Linked DNA regions of Arabidopsis thaliana. The protein of the gene in region 3 interacts with the protein of the main gene of each other region in a pairwise test. Each region holds a gene or a part of one and is shown on either strand. Other genes may lie near its edges. The genes, in order: AT4G19865, APC3, ATCHX1 and AT5G47420.

Region 1 (3,768 bases), on a different chromosome or scaffold from region 3:
GAGGTCGTACTATCCAACACTCTCAATCGTTTCGAAAAGCTTCCGTTCAATTATCTCATCCACCGAGCTCTATGTAGCCAGATCTCACCTCCGAAACACCGAAGAGTGTGTCTATGTCTGTCTATCTGATAAAAGTTTTGAATTTCCCAAATGGTTTACACTCTGGGTTAACCCTAATCAAGCCAACTCCATGGTTGAGAAGAAGAGGAAGAAGAAGAAGACAATTGGAAAGTTGTTGGTTCCAATTCCCTCTTCTAATCTTTCTCCTGTATCAAAATCCGCCATAGCTGTTGGTTCTGAAATATATGTGATCGGCGGAAAAGTCGATGGTGCACTGTCTTCGGCCGTGCGAATCCTCGATTGTCGCAGTAACACTTGGCGCGATGCTCCTAGCATGACCGTAGCCCGAAAGAGGCCTTTCATATGTCTCTACGATGGGAAAATTTACGTAATTGGAGGGTACAACAAATTATCAGAAAGCGAACCATGGGCTGAGGTATTCGATATAAAGACTCAGACTTGGGAATGCCTTTCTGATCCGGGTACTGAGATACGTAACTGTACCATTTACAGAATAGCAGAGATCGAAGGAAAGATTCACTTTGGGTATACACAAAAAACGTATGCTTATGACCCAAAGCAAGGTGAATGGGAATGCTGTGAAGGCGAGGTTGCATTTCCGAGGTCCCAATGTGTGATGGAGAGTGTATTGTACACCTTTGCTAATAACTACACTTGGGAGGACGACTACGGGTGCAAGTGGTGGTCAACGGATGGATATGGGGAAAAGGTAAAAGGGTTGGAGTCACTATTAGAGATACACAAGAGGAATGGTGGCTCAAGTGATAATACGACTAAACTAGTTGCCTGTGGTGGGAAACTCTTACTTTTATGGGAAGGGTACATGAAGCATAATCCCAATAATAGGAAGAAGATTTGGTGCGCGGTTATCGCGTTAGAAAAGCGTGATGGAGGTAAGGTTTGGGGAATTGTTGAGTGGGTTGATGTTGTGCATATCGTCCCCACATCATGCAAGCTCTTGCATTGTCTCGTTGTCTCGGTTTGATTAACTTGTATGATACAAGTTGTATCCAGGTATGTCAGTCCTTAACTCCATCTTTGGATCCCTTGTCTTAGTTAATTTGAGTTCATTTAGTTTTATAAAAAGTTCATGCTTCTTTTTTTTTTCCCTGTACATATATGATGTTAGTATGTATAACATTATATATATATGAATGGATTGTTGACCAGTTGGAAAGAGGAGAAGGAAGCAAAGGCAAAAAGGAGTGCAACATGGATTACCTTTCGCCTCATGATCAACACAGTGTCTTCTCATGTAGATGATCTAACCATCTTTCAAACTTTGTGTAGAGTTTCGTGACTTCTGACTTCAGTTTGTTAGAAATATCCTCCTCATGAGTTGTGTCTTTAACATCTTTCAAACTTTGTTTTAACATTGTAACTTCATCATGAATTCTTTGTTTTGAGAAAAGAAACAAATTCTGTTTAATATGTTACAGTTTGCAATCTCCACGGTTAAAAACAATGTTGGTTAGAAGTATCTACATATTAAGGGACTTCTGTGATCGAAAACAAAAGTAGGGAACACATTGGTAAAACAAAAAACACTAGGGTTATTTTGTTATATACCAAAGAGGTCCTCTTTTTTTTTTTTTTGGTCCTCTTCATATTTTCTCATTTGACCCATTTTAGTCAAGATCCCGTCACTGCCGCTGATTGTAATCACAGTGGCTATGAACTTTCAAGTGGAACCACCGGAGAAGAAGAAGACTAAGAACTCGTCTCCACCACATTCACCTCCGTCGTCGTCATCTCCGTCGCTTTCTCTACTTCCAGAAGAAATCGTCGTGCACTGCTTAGCTCGGATCTCAAGATTGTACTACCCAACGCTCTCACTCGTTTCGAAAAGCTTCCGCTCAATTCTCTCTTCCACGGAGCTCTACGCAACCAGATCTCACCTCGGAAGCACTGAACAGTGTGTCTATCTCTGTCTATGGGATCCCAGTTATCAATTTCCCCAATGGCTTAGACTCTTAGTTAACCCTAACCGAACCCTAGCCAACTCCATCATTAAGAAGAGAAGGAAGAAGAAGAAGACAACTGGACAAATGTTAGTTCCGCTTACCTCGTCTAAGTTTACATCAGTATCAAAAGCCACCGTTGTAGTTGGTTCTGAGATTTATGTACTTGGCGGTCCAGTCGACTCCGCCGTGCGGGTGCTTGATTGTTGCAGTCACACTTGGCGCGATGCACCGAGCATGAATGTATCCCGAATGAATGCCTGGGCATGTTTCCACGATGGGAAAATTTACGTAATGGGAGGTTGCCAAGGATTAAAGGACGAACCATGGGCTGAGGTGTTCAATACAAAGACTCAGACTTGGGAAGGCCTCCCTGAGCCGGGTAGTGAGGTACGTAAGTGTTCCATTGACAGAAGCGGAGTGATTGAAGGAAAGATTGAGTTTGGAAATGTAAACGAGATGTGTGCTTACGACACGAAGCTATGTAAATGGGAGTATTGTGTAAACAAAAGTGCAGCTTTGAGGTCAGAATGTATGATTGAGAATGTTTCATATGGCTTCTGGAACATGCGCTTGTTGTGGTATGACAATGACATACAAAAGGATTATTGGAAAAGATTGGAAGGGTTAGAGTCACTAGATGATAAGTACATGAGGAATGGTGGCTCAAGTGGTAATACGACTAAACTAGTTGCATGTGGTGGGAAACTCTTACTTTTATGGGAAGGATATATGAAGCATAACCCCAATAATAGGAAGAAGATTTGGTGTGCGGTGATCGCGATAGAGAAGTGTGATGGAGGTGGAGTTTGGGGAATTGTTGAGAGTGTTGATGTTTTGTATACTGTCCCCATATCATGTCAGCTCTTGCATTGTCTCGTTGTCTCGGTTTGATTGACTTGTATTCAGGTATGATCAGTTCAAAATCAGTTTGTAGGATCTAACTGTAGTATAACATAGTATGAACGATGGATTGTTGACCAGTTGGATAGAGGAGAAGGAATCAGAGGCAAGAGGAGAGCAACAAAGTGTATGAGATTAATTAGTTAAGGTTAAGAGGCACATTTTGTCAAACTAGCTACTATGGCATATTAGTGTTTGTCTAATCCCTTGTTATTAATGAATCTGATTTGTTGTTTGAGTTATCATGCTATGAATTGAGTCTTTCTTTACTAACAAGTAGGGATGGCTTGCAAAACTAAAAATCCGTAGGTATGATCTTTTGGATTAACCCTTTCTGGGTCATCCTTCACGAACAAAAACATTGATTTCTCTTCGCCTCATGGTCGACACAATTCTCTCCTCTAAATGAGAATCGCACCAATGATAAAATCTTTCACACTTGAGTTGAGTTATGTCCTTCAGAAAGTTATAACCATCGTCAATTCGTCATCAATAAAAGAGATGCTGAGTTCTGTTTGGAGTATGGGCTTCTGTAATGAGAAAAACAAAAGGTAGAGAACAAATTGGTAAAAGAAATTACAACTTGGTTTTAATCTAAAATAATGTGCCCATGTCTATAAATAATTCCAAGTATTGAAGTATCTCGAAACTTTAGAGTTAAATAATATTTTATATTATTGCTTTTTATGTCTCAATAATTCAATTGTCACTCTTGCGTTATCCATTTGAAGATGGATCCATCACTATGACAATTATTTTTCTGCCACCTTGACTTGTACGGCTTATATTCCAAAAATTTCTTTTATTGTTCACCTCTTTTTCT
Region 2 (4,901 bases), on a different chromosome or scaffold from region 3:
TTCTTATCATCATATCAATTGAAATGATGGTTACGATGATAATGAATATCGTTATTATGAAATACTTTCCGACCAACGCGTTATCTCCTCTTTGTTGTCTTAAAAGTTTTGCTTATAGATTTTTCGTCTTTTATGCTTGTTTCTTCATTTTTTACATGCGTGTTAGATCATTAGCGTAAATGGTTAGTGCTTAAAACTTATTGGTATGCGAATCTCGGCCGCCGACAAATATTTGTACTTCAACTTCAAGACATTCGTGGAACTTCAAAAACAATCTTTCGTTTTTTCAAACAAACAAAATAATTTGAATTCGTTTCGCGAATGAGGCGCGTGTATGACACCTCTGTCTCTGTGACTATAGCGAAGCTAGGTTTACTTATGATGAAAAAAGTTCAGTTCAAAACCAGTTTTTTGTTAGTCGTGAAAGTCTATTAACCTGTTTTTCTTTATAAAATTTCCCAATATAGTATTAATATATGAAATTAACAAATCGTTGAATTGAAAACTTTTAACTATCAGTCAAAGATGAATATTAGCCTGAATATGTTAAGTGATCAATTAACTAATTAATTAGCTAGGCATATTAACTGTGGGATCTCCTCTGGGCTTTGGGCGGTTTGGATAAAGTAACATTTGTCGGGAAAACAGTGAACAAGTGCTACACAATTTTTCAAATGTAAAGACAAAAAGTTCCATTATGTTGCAAACACGAGACACAAATATTTATAATAGAAGAGTTGTTTGAACAAATTAAGACAGCCAGATTATCATATGTTTTAAAAAGAATTGTTATCGAAAAAACAAAACAAATTTTGTAGAAAGTTCATGTTCTTTCAACATGATACACAATTCCAAATACTCAAAAGTCTTTGATATTTCATATATAGATACGATTACGAATATGGACCGTAGCTAAGAAAACAGTTCAAATAACTAAACACAAATACAGCTATTATATAAAAATACATCCCGACAGAAAGAATATAGTTAAAAGAAAATCAAGAGATTAAAACGTTGACAAAGGAAGGGAAATTGGGGATGGCCGCACGCACGCCGGCCTCACCGCCCTGTCAACCTTTGCGGCCTTCTAAGCTATCGCAAATCTCAACCACTGCCTTTACCTTCTATTTCAAACTTATCGGCCCAAAGACGTATGAATACGTGCATGTATACCATATATACACAATATTAAATCATTTAAAATACGTATGTATGTTCACGTTCAGGGATGTTCAAATTGCACCGACTCACTCAGTTTGTAAATGTAACGCAGCCCAATTCTGTTTCACTAATAGTCTGGCCCATTTCACAATCATCCAAAGCGAGTTTTTAAAGGTGATTTCATGATTTGCTAGGTAGGTCAGATTCTTTTGAGATTTCACATTCCAGACAGTATAGAGCGAAGAGAAACTGCAAAATTGTACAAAGAATGGCAAAAAAAAAAAAAAAAGCGTTTTTGTGAAAAAAATCCGACCTGCCGGAATCGAACCAGCGACCTAAAGATTTGCTGTCACAGACTACAGTCTTCCGCTCTACCAACTGAGCTAAGGTCGGTTATTGATTACTAATACAAAGATTTGTTAATTAACCTAAGTAATCTTGGTAGTCATGTCCTCTAATTTCCAAACCGGAGACAAAACCGGTGAGAAGATCGCTACAAAAATTACCAATCTCTAACAAAATTATTTAAATTAAAAATCTCCATAAACTTATTTTTCCCTCTCTGTAATTTTGGATAGGTTTTTAATACGGTCAAACGCATTTTTTTTACTTCTACTAATCAAGCACATTTGACCATTTCCGGTTTTGGTTCAAACCGGAAAACGCACGATTTCAATTTGACTGATTCGCACGTGTCGTGTGGGAATAGCACGTGGAGAATAGCAAAAGGTCAGGGGGAGGGAAGATAGAGAGATATGTTACCGTCACTTGCGGTTGACAGATGACGGAGCCGGATTTTCCTTCACCGGCCATCCATCGTTTATAGCCACTGACCCACAACAACACCATTAACCCTTTTTGCTTCTGACTCCAATAGTGAAGTAAATTTCCAAACTTTTGTGTTTCTTCTTCGACGTGAAGACTCTTTCGGTGGTGTGTTGTGTTGTGACTTGTGAGGTCTTCTTTCTCAAAACCCAGGACTCACTCTCTGTATAATAAATACGCAAGAAGATGAATGATCCTTAGAATCATTCAATTCTCTTGTAAAGCATTCTAATTTGGGGCAATCTCGATATTGATCGCGAATCAGCAATGGAGTCATCGAAGCCCAAAAACCGTAACCCGATGAAGAAACCTGTATCCATCACGATGGAGCATGTTCTATTGGCGTTACGTGAGACAATGGATGAGAGAGAGATCAGGATTCGTAGTTTGTTTGATTTCTTTGATAATTCGAATTTAGGGTTCTTAGATTATGCCCAGATCGAAAAGGGTCTTGCTTCGCTTCAGATTCCTCCTGAGTACAAGTACGCTAGAGATTTGTTTAGAGTCTGCGACGCTAATCGAGATGGGCGTGTTGATTACCAGGAGTTTCGTCGATACATTGATGCTAAGGAGCTTGAGCTATACAGGATTTTCCAAGCCATTGATGTTGAGCATAATGGCTGCATTTTGCCTGAGGAGCTTTGGGAGGCTCTTGTTAAGGCCGGTATGTTACTGTTCCATTTATACTGTTACTTTTTGCTATTGATCATCATGTAAAGTTTGTACCTTTATGAGAGATTTGTGGATTTTGATTGTTTATGGTGAAGTTGCTATATTGGCATTGTGTTGAGATGTTAGAACGTGTTTGATTGTTTATGTTATTTCATTGGATTGTTGAGTATCACCAACCTATATAAGCCCTACAGTTTTGTTCTTGTAGGCATTGAGATCGATGATGAGGAACTCGCTCGTTTTGTGGAGCATGTTGATAAGGACAACAATGGAACTATAACGTTTGAAGAGTGGAGAGATTTTCTTTTGTTATATCCTCATGAAGCCACCCTTGAAAACATATATCATCATTGGGAAAGGGTGTGCTTGATAGATATTGGGGAGCAAGCTGTTATACCGGATGGTATAAGTAAACATGTGAAAAGAAGCAGATTACTTCTCGCTGGAGGACTAGCCGGAGCTGTTTCTAGAACTGCAACTGCGCCTCTTGATCGTCTGAAGGTTGTTTTGCAAGTTCAAAGGGCACATGCAGGGGTCCTCCCGACAATTAAGAAGATATGGAGAGAAGATAAGTTGATGGGTTTCTTTAGAGGTAATGGGTTAAATGTCATGAAGGTTGCTCCTGAAAGTGCCATTAAGTTTTGTGCTTACGAAATGCTAAAACCCATGATTGGAGGGGAGGATGGTGATATTGGTACAAGTGGGAGACTTATGGCAGGTGGAATGGCTGGTGCATTGGCTCAAACCGCTATTTACCCTATGGATCTCGTGAAGACTCGGTTACAGACTTGTGTCAGTGAAGGTGGAAAGGCACCTAAGTTGTGGAAGCTTACAAAAGATATATGGGTTCGGGAGGGACCTCGGGCTTTCTACAAGGGTCTGTTTCCTTCTCTTCTTGGGATTGTTCCTTATGCAGGAATTGACCTCGCTGCATATGAAACGCTAAAAGACTTGTCCAGAACATATATTCTTCAGGACACTGGTTAGAGCATCAAAACCTTAAATCCTTATTCTTATTTGCATATCATTGTTCTGTGATATGATACTAAAATAGCTTAAAATTCTGCAGAGCCGGGTCCTCTGATACAGCTGAGCTGTGGAATGACATCAGGAGCCCTTGGAGCATCATGTGTTTACCCGTTACAGGTAGTAAGAACAAGGTAAAAACCCGAAATTCCGAAAACTTGTAACCGATTTTTTTTAATGTCTTGTCTGCGATTGTAAAAAACAAGTTTGATCCTTGTCATGTCAGAATGCAAGCGGATAGTTCGAAGACGACAATGAAGCAAGAGTTTATGAATACGATGAAAGGAGAAGGTCTTAGAGGTTTCTACAGAGGACTATTACCCAATCTTCTCAAAGTAGTTCCAGCGGCAAGCATCACGTACATTGTTTATGAAGCTATGAAGAAAAATATGGCTCTTGATTAGCCAATACGGTCTTGAAATTTTCTCCGAGTTAGTTTATTCTTTTTTGTTCCCAAGGGGTCACTCTCTCTAGGTTATGTGAGAAATTCAAAAACAAGACAGAGATTGTAACATGTCTTCGTTGATGTGTTCAAGATCAAGACTCAAGTCTGTAAACTCACATCTCCAAAAAAGATTTTGAATGGTTAAGTCATGAACTCACATCTCCAAAAATGATTTTGAATGGTTACATCATTAAAGATATCTATCAACTAATTTTTTTAAAAAGGTCTTACTGCATTTTATAAATAATAAATGAATTTTTATATAAATCGTGATCAGTTGTAAGTCACTTTTCTAATATTTTAAAGTGTATAGCCTATTTAAGTATATGATCTGATTTAATTAAATGGAAAACAAAATATTAAAAGTATATTCTTGAAATTGGGACATATATTTTTATGGTGATAAAATTTAATTATAGATTTGTAATTTGATGGAAATTTTTTTGATAAATAGTTATCAGCAATATAATAAAGTTAACACTCTTATAACAACTTAACAAAAAAAACACTCTTATAACAAAAAAGAAGAAGTTATCAGCAATATATTTATACTGTTTTCGTTGACTTAAAAATATAACTTATAACACACCTATGATTTATATATCTCAATTATTGTTTTGTTGCGATCATTGATATTCTTTTTTAGACTATGTTTCAGAATGATGACAACAATGTTATACCTAGACATATATAGTTTTAAATGTTGTTTTCAGCTTTAACCTATATTTATTTTAAAAATCAGCGAGCTTTTCTTTTCGTTTTTTTAGAATAT
Region 3 (5,235 bases):
TCTTATTGGAGAGATTCAACAGAAGAAGCTCTGTTCTTGTGAATACCTTACTCGGTGGGGCATCAGGGGTGCTCTGTTTCGTTCTCAGCATTCTCGGCAAAACAGAGATCGCGTTTGCCTTCGAACTCGGAACATTCTTCTGCGCTAGAATCGGATTTAACCTTATGGCAGTTTTTATGGTTGAAATGTTTCCAACTTGTGTGAGAAGCTCGGCAACAATGATGTTTAGACAGGCTCTTGTCGTTGGAGGAGCTTGTTGTCCGCTAATTGCTTCGATTGGAAGATACATACCCTCAGTATCGTTTGCGATTTTTGGAATTGCAATGTCTGGTTTAGGAATGTTCGTTTTGATTCTGCCTGAGACAAAAGGTTTGAGTCTCTGCGATTCGATGGAAGAACAAGAAAAGAGAGATCAAGCCGTAAATACCAGCCATGTTTGCTGAGAGTTTAAGAGTTTGTTTAGCTCAAACATTCTCCATTTTCATATGTTTTCTATTATGTGATGTTTGTCTTGATTTTAAGAGTAAACTATTTTAAGTTGTGTCAAGTAAAAACTAAAGAGTATTTGCTATTCATCTACAAAGCTATCAAATGAGTTTCTATGTCTTTGAACTACTAATACAGAAGCATTTACATCCATATTTGATGAAGCCAAGAAATCTCCGACCGTTCCTAATTCCGGACACTCTTCCCAATCATTCATTCCTGAAGTCATTGGACAATCTCCTCTGTTTTTTCCTACCACAAACAGTGAATACATCTCCCCGATCTCTCTTAGAATTGTCAGCGTCTGCATTCCGTTGCTCACTCGCTTCTCTATGAATCCAACTTGCCCCGTCGTCACAAATCTGTCAAGACAAATAAAAACCATCTCTATAAATGAAAAAACAGAGTAACGGAAACAGAGTATGTGTGTAGGAACATAGAAACAGAGTACTAGTCATGCCAAAAACAGAGTATTTGCAGGAGCAGAGTATTTGTAAGGTACCTGTGATAGAATTCTTCTAAGAAGATTCGATCTGTTTCGTTTTCGGTTTGATCTTCACTAACAATCTCCAAGAATACTTCGTTGTTTTCCTTGGTCACCGCGTCTCCGACAATTTTCTCTGTCTTTGAGTCATCCGCCACAAACTGTATGACAGTGAGGTGAATCTGAGAGTTATTGGTAAGCCACTTGCACAAGGACAGAGCCTCACGATCATCAGGACCACCGAAGAACAATGCAGCAACGTGTTGTACCGAATCAGACCCGTGAAGCTGGTGAAACCCTGTTATGTTTCTATCCACAAAGATACCAATCGAACATTGAGCTTGCTTTAGAACCTTCCGGTTCATATGTCGAAAAACTTCCCCGTCATTCGTGGTTTTCCCGTCGATCCTCTGGTGTTTATGGAAAGGTAGAAACACGATCGATACACGAAGATCTTCAGTGGCGTTACAGATCTCTTCGTGCATATTCTCCATCGGCGCCACAAGTTTCACCTGCCGGACCATTATTTTTCTGTCTCTAGTAAACGAATCGATCGAGTCATTGATCTCTAGTCCTTCATTAGTCCCGAACTCATCGTCTCCGCCGTTGGAATTTCCTGCATCTTCGTCTAATTCGTGGTACAACAATTCAGTTTTCCGCTTCTTCGGGAGCGGTATGAGGTGCATAAGGTAAGGCGTGAACGGCGAAGAAGAAGTTCCAGGAGAAAAGCCACTTAGAGCAGAGACTAAAGAGATCGATCCACGAGCATGACGAACGCCATAGACGCACGTCAACACTCGTAGCTCCTCGGTAGTGTCAAATAACTCAAGTGATGTTTTTATATGTGCGAAACTCTTTTCTTGACTTCTAAGCAACAAAGATGTTATAACTCCGCTTAACAAAGTCATGATCACTAGAGCCGCAACGAACATATCATGAACTACCGGAGTAAACCATTTCTACAAAGAGAAAATCAATAACACGGAGATGAAGATTATCAACCGACTTGAAACCTAAATTAACGAGAAGTCGTAATTTGTTGTAATACCTTGTACATCAAGTTAGAGTCGAGAAGAACAAGACCTATATGACCTTTGACGGAAAGCATGGTTGACAAGAAAAGCCAATACTGCTTTGGGATCTTCAAGAATGAACAAGCGAATAAAACTCCTAGAAGCTTCCCCAGTAGGCTTAAAGCCACAGTCATACCAAGGACGAGGTAGTGGCGTTTGGTTAACGAATTGACGCTGAATCTAAATCCGATGTAACCAAAGTAAACCGGAAGGACAAACTCGTGAATCGGGTAACTCAACCGTTGGATCAACGTTCTGTAAGTTTTTCCTTCTCTTGGAAACATTAATCCGATGATAAACACAAAAAGCGTTGAGTTTAAGTTGCTGGATTCGATGGTTAACGCGATGATTAGAATAAGGATGATGAAAGCAAGCGTTTCAGCTTTGGAGAGATATTTCTCTTTAGGGTTTCTTTTTGGGAGCCATGAAGCTAAGAATCTATTAGTCAAGATTATAACTCCTGTGGCAAATGAGTAGATAAAAATATCAGCAGTCATAGTCCCGGAGATGAAAGAAAGGACGATAGTGTAGATAAATATGTTGGTTATCTCTATGAACAATCCGCATGAGATTGCTAGCCGTCCGATCTCAGATGTGTGCAGTTTCCAATCGATGATCGAACGGATGACGACAGGAGCTGCCGTGTTGGACAAGGTAATGAGGAAGGCTAAGTAAAATGTTAAGAAATCGCCTTTGATCTGCATGAAACGGATGAGAAACCAGAGGAAAGGGAGCCAGATGATGCCAGAAATGACTAAGGAGCCCAAAGTTATGACAATGGAGTTCTTCAAGTTTCGTTTCATGAAGTCAAGATCGATCTCGAGACCGATCAAGAACACAAAGGCTGTTCGTAAAAGGAATGAGAAAAAGATGTAATAGCTTGCTGAATCTTTCTGGAGGAAAAATTCGTGGACTTTGCGGATTATTGTGAGCAAACTCAACACAATCCCAGCCTGAGCAAAAATGATTAAAACGTCAGTTTTTTCTGAATGTTATAATATGTCAATTTTCCTGAAACGAAACCTTATTAACATTCTTGCACAACAGGCTACTCTTAGGGTTTAAGTGCACACTCGTAAAGTTCAGGGAGTAAATTTTGTAAAAAAAATAGAAATCATGGATACTATAATAAAACGTCAATTTATGAGTACTATAATAACGATTTTGTGCATGAATTTTACTTGGGTTTGGGTTTCACTATCATAGAGTTTAGGAGTCAAATTGCGAAAACTTTAAAACAAAAAAAAAAGTGTTTAGAAAGTATTTTTTAACAAAACTTACGAGAATCTGGGCAACGGGACCGGCTTGGCCACAGGGTTTTAGGAATAGGTAGAAGAATTGAGAGAAGACGAGAATGCAAGCCATTTGAATAAACATTGTATTGAGTGGATTAAACAATGCATCTCCTTCTGGCAAACAAAACAACATCTTTGGATCCATTTTCTTGATTCGATTTTGAGCATTCTTCAAAGTTCAATGCGGGAAAAATAAAATGTGAAAGAAACTTCAATTTCTCCTAAAAAGAAGAATATATATTTTTCAGGTTTTTTAAGTATTAATTTATCTTGGTTGGAGTTTAAGGGGTTTACATTTACCTGATTATCCTTCGATTACTCCATGCCTCTGTTTTACGCCATTTATTTTTCTTGTCGACACATTTAATTTTCCCCATTAAAAGCGGATATACTTACTATAATCGGAAAATGCATGAATTATTGGAGTAGGTTTAAAGGAGTAAGTTTTTGTTTTTGTAAGATAATAGAAAAGTGTCGATTTCAGCAAGAAAACTATGTAGACTTAATATTTTCAAAAGTATTAATTAACATTGCATCCAACGGAAAAAAAAAAAAAAGCAATAATTTTTTGTCAAGGAAAAAGTATAGCTTTTATGTATGTAAAATTGTATTGTACTAAATGTATGAATTAAATTAACAGGTATACGTCAAATTATCATTACAACTTGTATCTAATTGTTACTTCAAAATTTTCTATTATACCTTTTGAAAATGTTATATTCATATTCTTATGATGAAATGAATTTATATTATGCCGCATAAAAATATCAAATATACTGATATAACCTGCATGAAAAAGAGAGCATCCATCTAAATGTTTTATTAGACTTTCAGTGACATTCCAGTGTTTTGTATCAAACAAAACTATGCCTCCACAAATTTGTATATTTTATTTAAGTTCTCTTGCATGCATAAGGCTACGTACAAGCTTCCAAATGACCAAAGACATTCGAATTAAAGACATCTCCCATGCCCTGGAAAGCAATTACGCTTATCTTGTCCAACTGCAACAACCAGTGCAACTTGATCATTATTGAAACAGATTTATTATAGCGTTTTACAGCATCTATTGATTGTAATTTTGTACTTATCTTACAATAAGATATATATAAATATATTTTTTTCCTCACAATAAGATTCAATCTAAGAATATGAATTTATTGACGAAGATGTAAAATAAATGAAACTGGCTTTTTTTATGAAGATGTATATCAAGAAATGATAATAATTCATAGAAGAAAAAATGATAATTATAAAGAAGTAGACCCTAAAATAAATAGTTAACCCCAAAGTGGTTGAGTGGGGGATCACATGCAGCAAATTAACGGCGGTGGGGAAGAAGGTCTGAGAAATTAACCAAGAGATGGCTCATCCTCAGCCATTCACTTAGCCATCGAGAGATCTCAAACCCATTAATCATTTAACTTACTGAACATATCTAATAAATGTGTGTTTATATATGTAATGAGTTAGACGCCAAAAATAAATTATAGACTAGAGACATGTCCTGCTAGCTGGATCCTAGTCATCACGGTCTCACGAGCAGTATTGCATCCAATTTTCGATCACAATATTTACAAAAAATTCCCACCACTCTAAAGTTGTAGTTTATTCTCTATATATAGAGTAACATAAATTGATTGGACATGCAAATCAAGTCAAACATAAAAGTAAACAAAACCCTATCTCTTCCTATATATGGCCGACTCGACTCGGCCGCTTCTCTCAGATTTCAACTCGTCCGAGTCAAATCTTCCGCCACCAAGATCCCTTGAGGAGACGATAGAGCGATGCATTGGAGACTTCGGGTGGGCACAGTTTCTCCAAGCCGCTTTAGTCTCATTCGCTTGGTTCTTCGACGCTCAACAAACATTCATCACCGTCTTCACCGACTCAC
Region 4 (4,752 bases), on a different chromosome or scaffold from region 3:
ACGATTCATATCAAATTTATTCTTGTTGGTCTAGCTTCACTGATTTGAGAGATCTTATGTGCGAATCGTAAACATGTTTAAGAATGGTTGTAGTCACTTCTTATAACGTAAATGTATTCATCGTATCGTAAGATCCGTATCCATGAGTAATTCGAATAGTTTAAAAAGTAAACGGAAAAAACGGAGTATTGTATATTGTTGAAATTCGTGTGTTAACACCTATGACATTTCGCTGTTTTCAAAATTGTGAATTTTTGCTTGAGCATGTTTACTGTTTTTGACAGTTCAATGTTTTTGGAAAACTATTAACTCCTGCTATAATCCATTTTCTGAAAATTAGTCCATGATATCATTGAGACATTCTCTTGAGTCTTGACTATATGATCCATTGGTAACGAATTAATCCAGATTTTTTTTTTTGAATTAATCCAATTTCTTAACCATCCGATGAAAATTAATCAATAATATCATTAGACATTAATTATTTAACAAAACAAAAAATCAAATTAATTAATTTAAATTGATGTGTGATTTAAGTAAAGAATCCAATTTTTGTTCAACTCGGTATCTACGTTTTCACTTTTCAATATATAGGAGCAATATCAATATAACACAAGTGCCTAAACTCACTAGTAAACGAAAAGAAAATGGTTTGAGATGTGTCTAATTCATCTTCACTCTATCCATCCAAAGTCCAAACCCGAGATAATTTGAACAATTACAACGTTAGTTTGTTGGTCGGATAATTCTTTCTATCTCTCTGCTTTCAAACTTCGGTTAAGATCAACGATGACAAAATCACAGCGTATGCTAGGAACGCAAATATAGCTATCTGTATCAGCAATTTTGGATTCTCTCTCATGTTTGGCGACGTTACCGACCTGTCACAGAAAAACCATTCACACTTTATATAAACATATTTGCAACATAAATGGAGATTTGGATTGTTGGTTGCTTTACCTTGCAATACGCTGCGAGAGCCGATGAAACGGTAAGCTTTGAATGAAGACAATGCCAGGCCCCGTTAGAGTCGCCATTACTACGTTATCACCCTTTTGAATGTTGAAAGATTAAAACAGTTGAGAAACAAAACAAAAACCTGAATCTTCTTCTCATTGAAACAAAGTATATGTGAAAATGTACCCCGAATAGTGCTCGTCTAAAAGGAGCATTGTTTTTGATTCGGACATCGATAGAGGGTGTGAGAGCAGCAATACAGGAAACGTCAATGGAGAAAACTTCTCCTACCTCCAGAACTTTTTGTACAACTAACATGTTTGGGATGTTAAATGTCAGTTTTATTGAAGGGGATGAGGCCTCAACGGAAACAGCATTTCATTGGGATAAAATCTCACCAGAGCCACCTGCGAGGATGAAAGCAAGACCTTGTCCAGATAGGCGTTGTCTCAGAAATCCCTGCAACAGCAATTTGTGAGTAGAAGCCAGACAACGGGTTGCAGAATTTTGTTAAGAATAATAATTGCATCAGAAACCAAATCAACGTATTTTCCTTCTTAGTTCTTACCTCTGCACCAGCGGCAACAATGTTTCTTGCTCTCTGGTCAACGGAGTTGACAACCTTCACATCATGGACAGAACAAAGGAATGCATCTGGCTACAGAAAGTGAAGAAAAGGTCAGGCGACTCTGTAAGAGCTTGATCTGAGTGAAGAAGAAGCTGATAGCTAAGTGTTCAAAATCTAGGAAAAAAGACTCTACCTGGCATAAGATCTCACCTCCAAACATTGCCAAATCAATCTACATGGAAAACAAAGATCACAAAAACAACAAGGAATCAGGCGGTATACATTAAGGGTGAAATGGAAGATGATTATGCCAACATGGACAAGCTAAAATCACTAACCGGGAGAATCCTAGCCAAATAAGGTGCAGCAATACCAACAAACCCGTCGTTTTGCCCAGTATTCCGAAGAACAACACTGCTTACACTCTTGCCCAAAATCCACTGCAGAACTCCAACTTCTTGTTCAGGAGTGTATGTATTTTCCATCTCGATGGAGCCAGACATGTAGCACATGGAAGCTACATCACCATAACACAAAATTAGTTGAAACTTGAAACCATTATACAAAACTGAGTAGAGAAGCGAGTTATTCAGTGGAAGTACCAGGCTTAGCAATGACTTTCTCCTCTGACTTTAACATTATCTGCCAACATACGAGCAATGGTTAGAGAAGTTAAAATTATATGGCATATAACCCACAAATACGAAGATCACGCTATATTAAGAAAGCAAATGTACCTGAACAACTTGGGATTCACCACCCAAAATCTGGAACGGTGTAATAGTATCTTGTTGACTCTGCATCAAATGGCCACTTATTAGACAACACTAGAACAATGTCATGATCTAAAATCCCTAATTGGCCCGATTATGCGTTCTCCCAGCTAAGTTAAACTAATCAAAGATGGAATTTCTCTAAATCCTACTTACAATGAACCTCAAATTTAGTCAAATTGCAACTAAGAAGAACACGACCTCATCATTTTGAAAGCGAAATGATCAAAGAGAGAAGAAGCACACCTGGTAGACATAAGGCTGAAATGGAGTTGAAAAAAACGGAGCGGCCATAGTGGTGAAGACCACAGAGAAGATCTGTAACCAAAACCTTCTGAGGAGCTTTAACAAATTCGCGACAGATCTAAGAACACAGAAGAATTCTCCGGTCAATTTCGAACGATCAGATCACAAAGCAAGTGGCAGAAATTCGAAATTTGGTGTTCGGAATTGTGATAGTCAGCGACGAACGACCGATGAATTTTGCTGATGGGTGGATCTTATTGGCAGATGACACGTGGAGACTGATTACGTGGACCATTCTCATTGGTTGTAACAAGTAAAGACACGCTTCAATTTGTAATGCGAACATGTAAATTACCAAAAAACTCAGTCCCTGTTTCGTAAATAAGCTTTCCAATTCCTATCAAACGCTCTACGCGAGTTAGAGTGTCTATTTCCTTTTACTTCTTCAACTTTTAACACATTTTGGACACCCATCTACCAAATCATCCTTGTGACTACCCTTTTGACTACAAGAAACAGGACATAGAGAAATAAAAGCATCAGAAACTTTTTTGAAGCCATAACCCGAAGATTGACTCGAATCCCGAATCTTCTCATCAGCTGCAACACTGTGCCACATACCATCACCATCCCTCGCAACAGCATCTTCGCAGCATCTCCAGGTCCTGCAACGTTTCCCACATCTTCCCCTGATACATCTACATATGATACTGACTCTGAATTCTCTTTCTTGTCGTTGCTCGTCTCAGATTTGTTCAGCCCGAGGCGTTCATTGAGCCAAATAGACATGTTGATTAGCAGTTTAGCCATCAATGCAACCTCGTCTTCTGACACCGGACGGGTCATCCAGTCCCCTTTGTACTTCACACCGCCTGCTGTTTGGTTACCAGCACCACGTGGCTTGAAGAGCTCGTCACGGTTTTTCTGAGGATGGTCCGGCTCTAGGAAAAAAGCGATTGGTTTTACGACATGCCCGCCAAAGAAGTTGGAAACCGCTGATTTTAGTGAATCTACACACTTAAGGGCCTCTGTGAGGTTTTTATCGGATACAGTTTGCAGTTCGGCTTCTGCCCGCAGTATGAATAGCTGCAAATGCAAAGAACAAACGCCTTCAGCAAAGTAAAACAGGTTTTAAGCTCCACTCCCCCCCTATGAGCTAAAGGATTCAAGAGTCGTATAAACTAAAGTAGAGTATCGGAAACAAGAAAACATGCGATACAACTAGGTTACTGAAAAACAAATGTAGGAGAACTAGTTCTCAAAGTATATTTCCGTGAACAATTTCTCAAAAAACAAATTCCCAAGTTAATAGCTCACAACATTGCCGATGACTGCGTACTCATCTAATTGTCAAGTAACAAATTCTCCTGTTAATATAGATAGAAGGCTACAAACAACAAACAAGTAAATCTGAAGGTTTATCTATATATTTGTCAACTAGATCATTCCATAATAGAGCTATTTTAAGTACATTTGAAGATATCATCCTACAAAGATTATCTTCCATTTTTTTATTCCTAACTTATCACTACAGTAGGTTATAAAAGGAAGACATTAACCTGAAGCAGTTGTTGTCCGCCATCTTCACCATCACTAAAGAGTTTCAAGTCTTTGTTCCAGTTTTCATGCAAGTATGAGCCATCAGCGTTGCTCTCACACAACCCATCTTCCCAATCCTGAAGTTCCACAAGCAGTTAAACATGATTTTTCAGTATAGAGTTTGAGTACTTATGTGACTTATGTGAAAAAAAGATTGATTTTACAGTCTTTTGTTAAACTTCCAAGGGTGTTATGATGAAAAAGCTAAATAAGTATGAAGACAAAGGATGGCGGATACATAAGAGTAAAATCACTGGAAAAGCGTTCTATGACCGGAGAACAGATAACAACTGGTGTTGAGGAAAAATATAGGCATACCTTCAACTGCTCACGGATAGATGGAGAAAATCTAGACAATTCGTTCACTTTTGAGTTTCCTGGTCCAGTTTGTTTAGAGTGAAAGGCTTTATCAATATTCTTCATCAGAACCAAAAGCTCTTTTGACGATGTCAACGTACTCATCACCTATTTAGGGAGACACAGTAGAACCATTCAGTCACATTAAGATTTCAAACAGAAGTCTTGCAATCCATATTCTACAGATAAACTCATGAATTTGAGAAAATAGCTTAAGCCAGGGATCAAACCTTAAGAGCCATCTGAGTTATT

What was found.
Region 1: the proteins of ATCHX1 (region 3) and AT4G19865 interact in a protein complementation assay, tested with the Arabidopsis thaliana proteins (one large-scale study listed by BioGRID).
Region 2: the proteins of ATCHX1 (region 3) and APC3 interact in a protein complementation assay, tested with the Arabidopsis thaliana proteins (one large-scale study listed by BioGRID).
Region 4: the proteins of ATCHX1 (region 3) and AT5G47420 interact in a protein complementation assay, tested with the Arabidopsis thaliana proteins (one large-scale study listed by BioGRID).

The regions. Positions count from the first base shown.
Region 1 is NC_003075.7:10,780,352-10,784,119, reverse strand, and holds AT4G19865 (Galactose oxidase/kelch repeat superfamily protein), read left to right. Parts: upstream 1-1,671; 5' UTR 1,672-1,754; coding exon 1,755-2,936; 3' UTR 2,937-3,228; downstream 3,229-3,768. Other genes in the region: AT4G19870 (Galactose oxidase/kelch repeat superfamily protein), read left to right, coding at 1-1,066.
Region 2 is NC_003076.8:2,307,995-2,312,895, forward strand, and holds APC3 (Mitochondrial substrate carrier family protein), read left to right. Parts: upstream 1-1,868; 5' UTR 1,869-2,253; coding exon 2,254-2,650; intron 2,651-2,866; coding exon 2,867-3,640; intron 3,641-3,727; coding exon 3,728-3,818; intron 3,819-3,910; coding exon 3,911-4,088; 3' UTR 4,089-4,352; downstream 4,353-4,901. UniProt on the Arabidopsis thaliana protein: Calcium-dependent mitochondrial carrier protein that catalyzes the import of ATP co-transported with metal divalent cations across the mitochondrial inner membrane in exchange for phosphate (Pi).
Region 3 is NC_003070.9:5,597,885-5,603,119, forward strand, and holds ATCHX1 (Cation/hydrogen exchanger family protein), read right to left. Parts: upstream 3,484-5,235; coding exon 3,325-3,483; intron 2,997-3,324; coding exon 2,019-2,996; intron 1,930-2,018; coding exon 989-1,929; intron 849-988; coding exon 569-848; 3' UTR 527-568; downstream 1-526. Other genes in the region: OCT6 (organic cation/carnitine transporter 6), read left to right, coding at 1-443; OCT3 (organic cation/carnitine transporter 3), read left to right, coding at 5,037-5,235. UniProt on the Arabidopsis thaliana protein: May operate as a cation/H(+) antiporter.
Region 4 is NC_003076.8:19,230,853-19,235,604, reverse strand, and holds AT5G47420 (Tryptophan RNA-binding attenuator protein-like protein), read right to left. Parts: upstream 2,822-4,752; 5' UTR 2,593-2,821; coding exon 2,545-2,592; intron 2,323-2,544; coding exon 2,263-2,322; intron 2,168-2,262; coding exon 2,128-2,167; intron 2,043-2,127; coding exon 1,864-2,042; intron 1,758-1,863; coding exon 1,719-1,757; intron 1,616-1,718; coding exon 1,526-1,615; intron 1,417-1,525; coding exon 1,356-1,416; intron 1,269-1,355; coding exon 1,144-1,268; intron 1,053-1,143; coding exon 961-1,052; intron 882-960; coding exon 767-881; 3' UTR 539-766; downstream 1-538. Other genes in the region: AT5G47400 (sphingomyelin phosphodiesterase), read right to left, coding at 3,019-3,630, 4,104-4,220, 4,462-4,608, 4,731-4,752.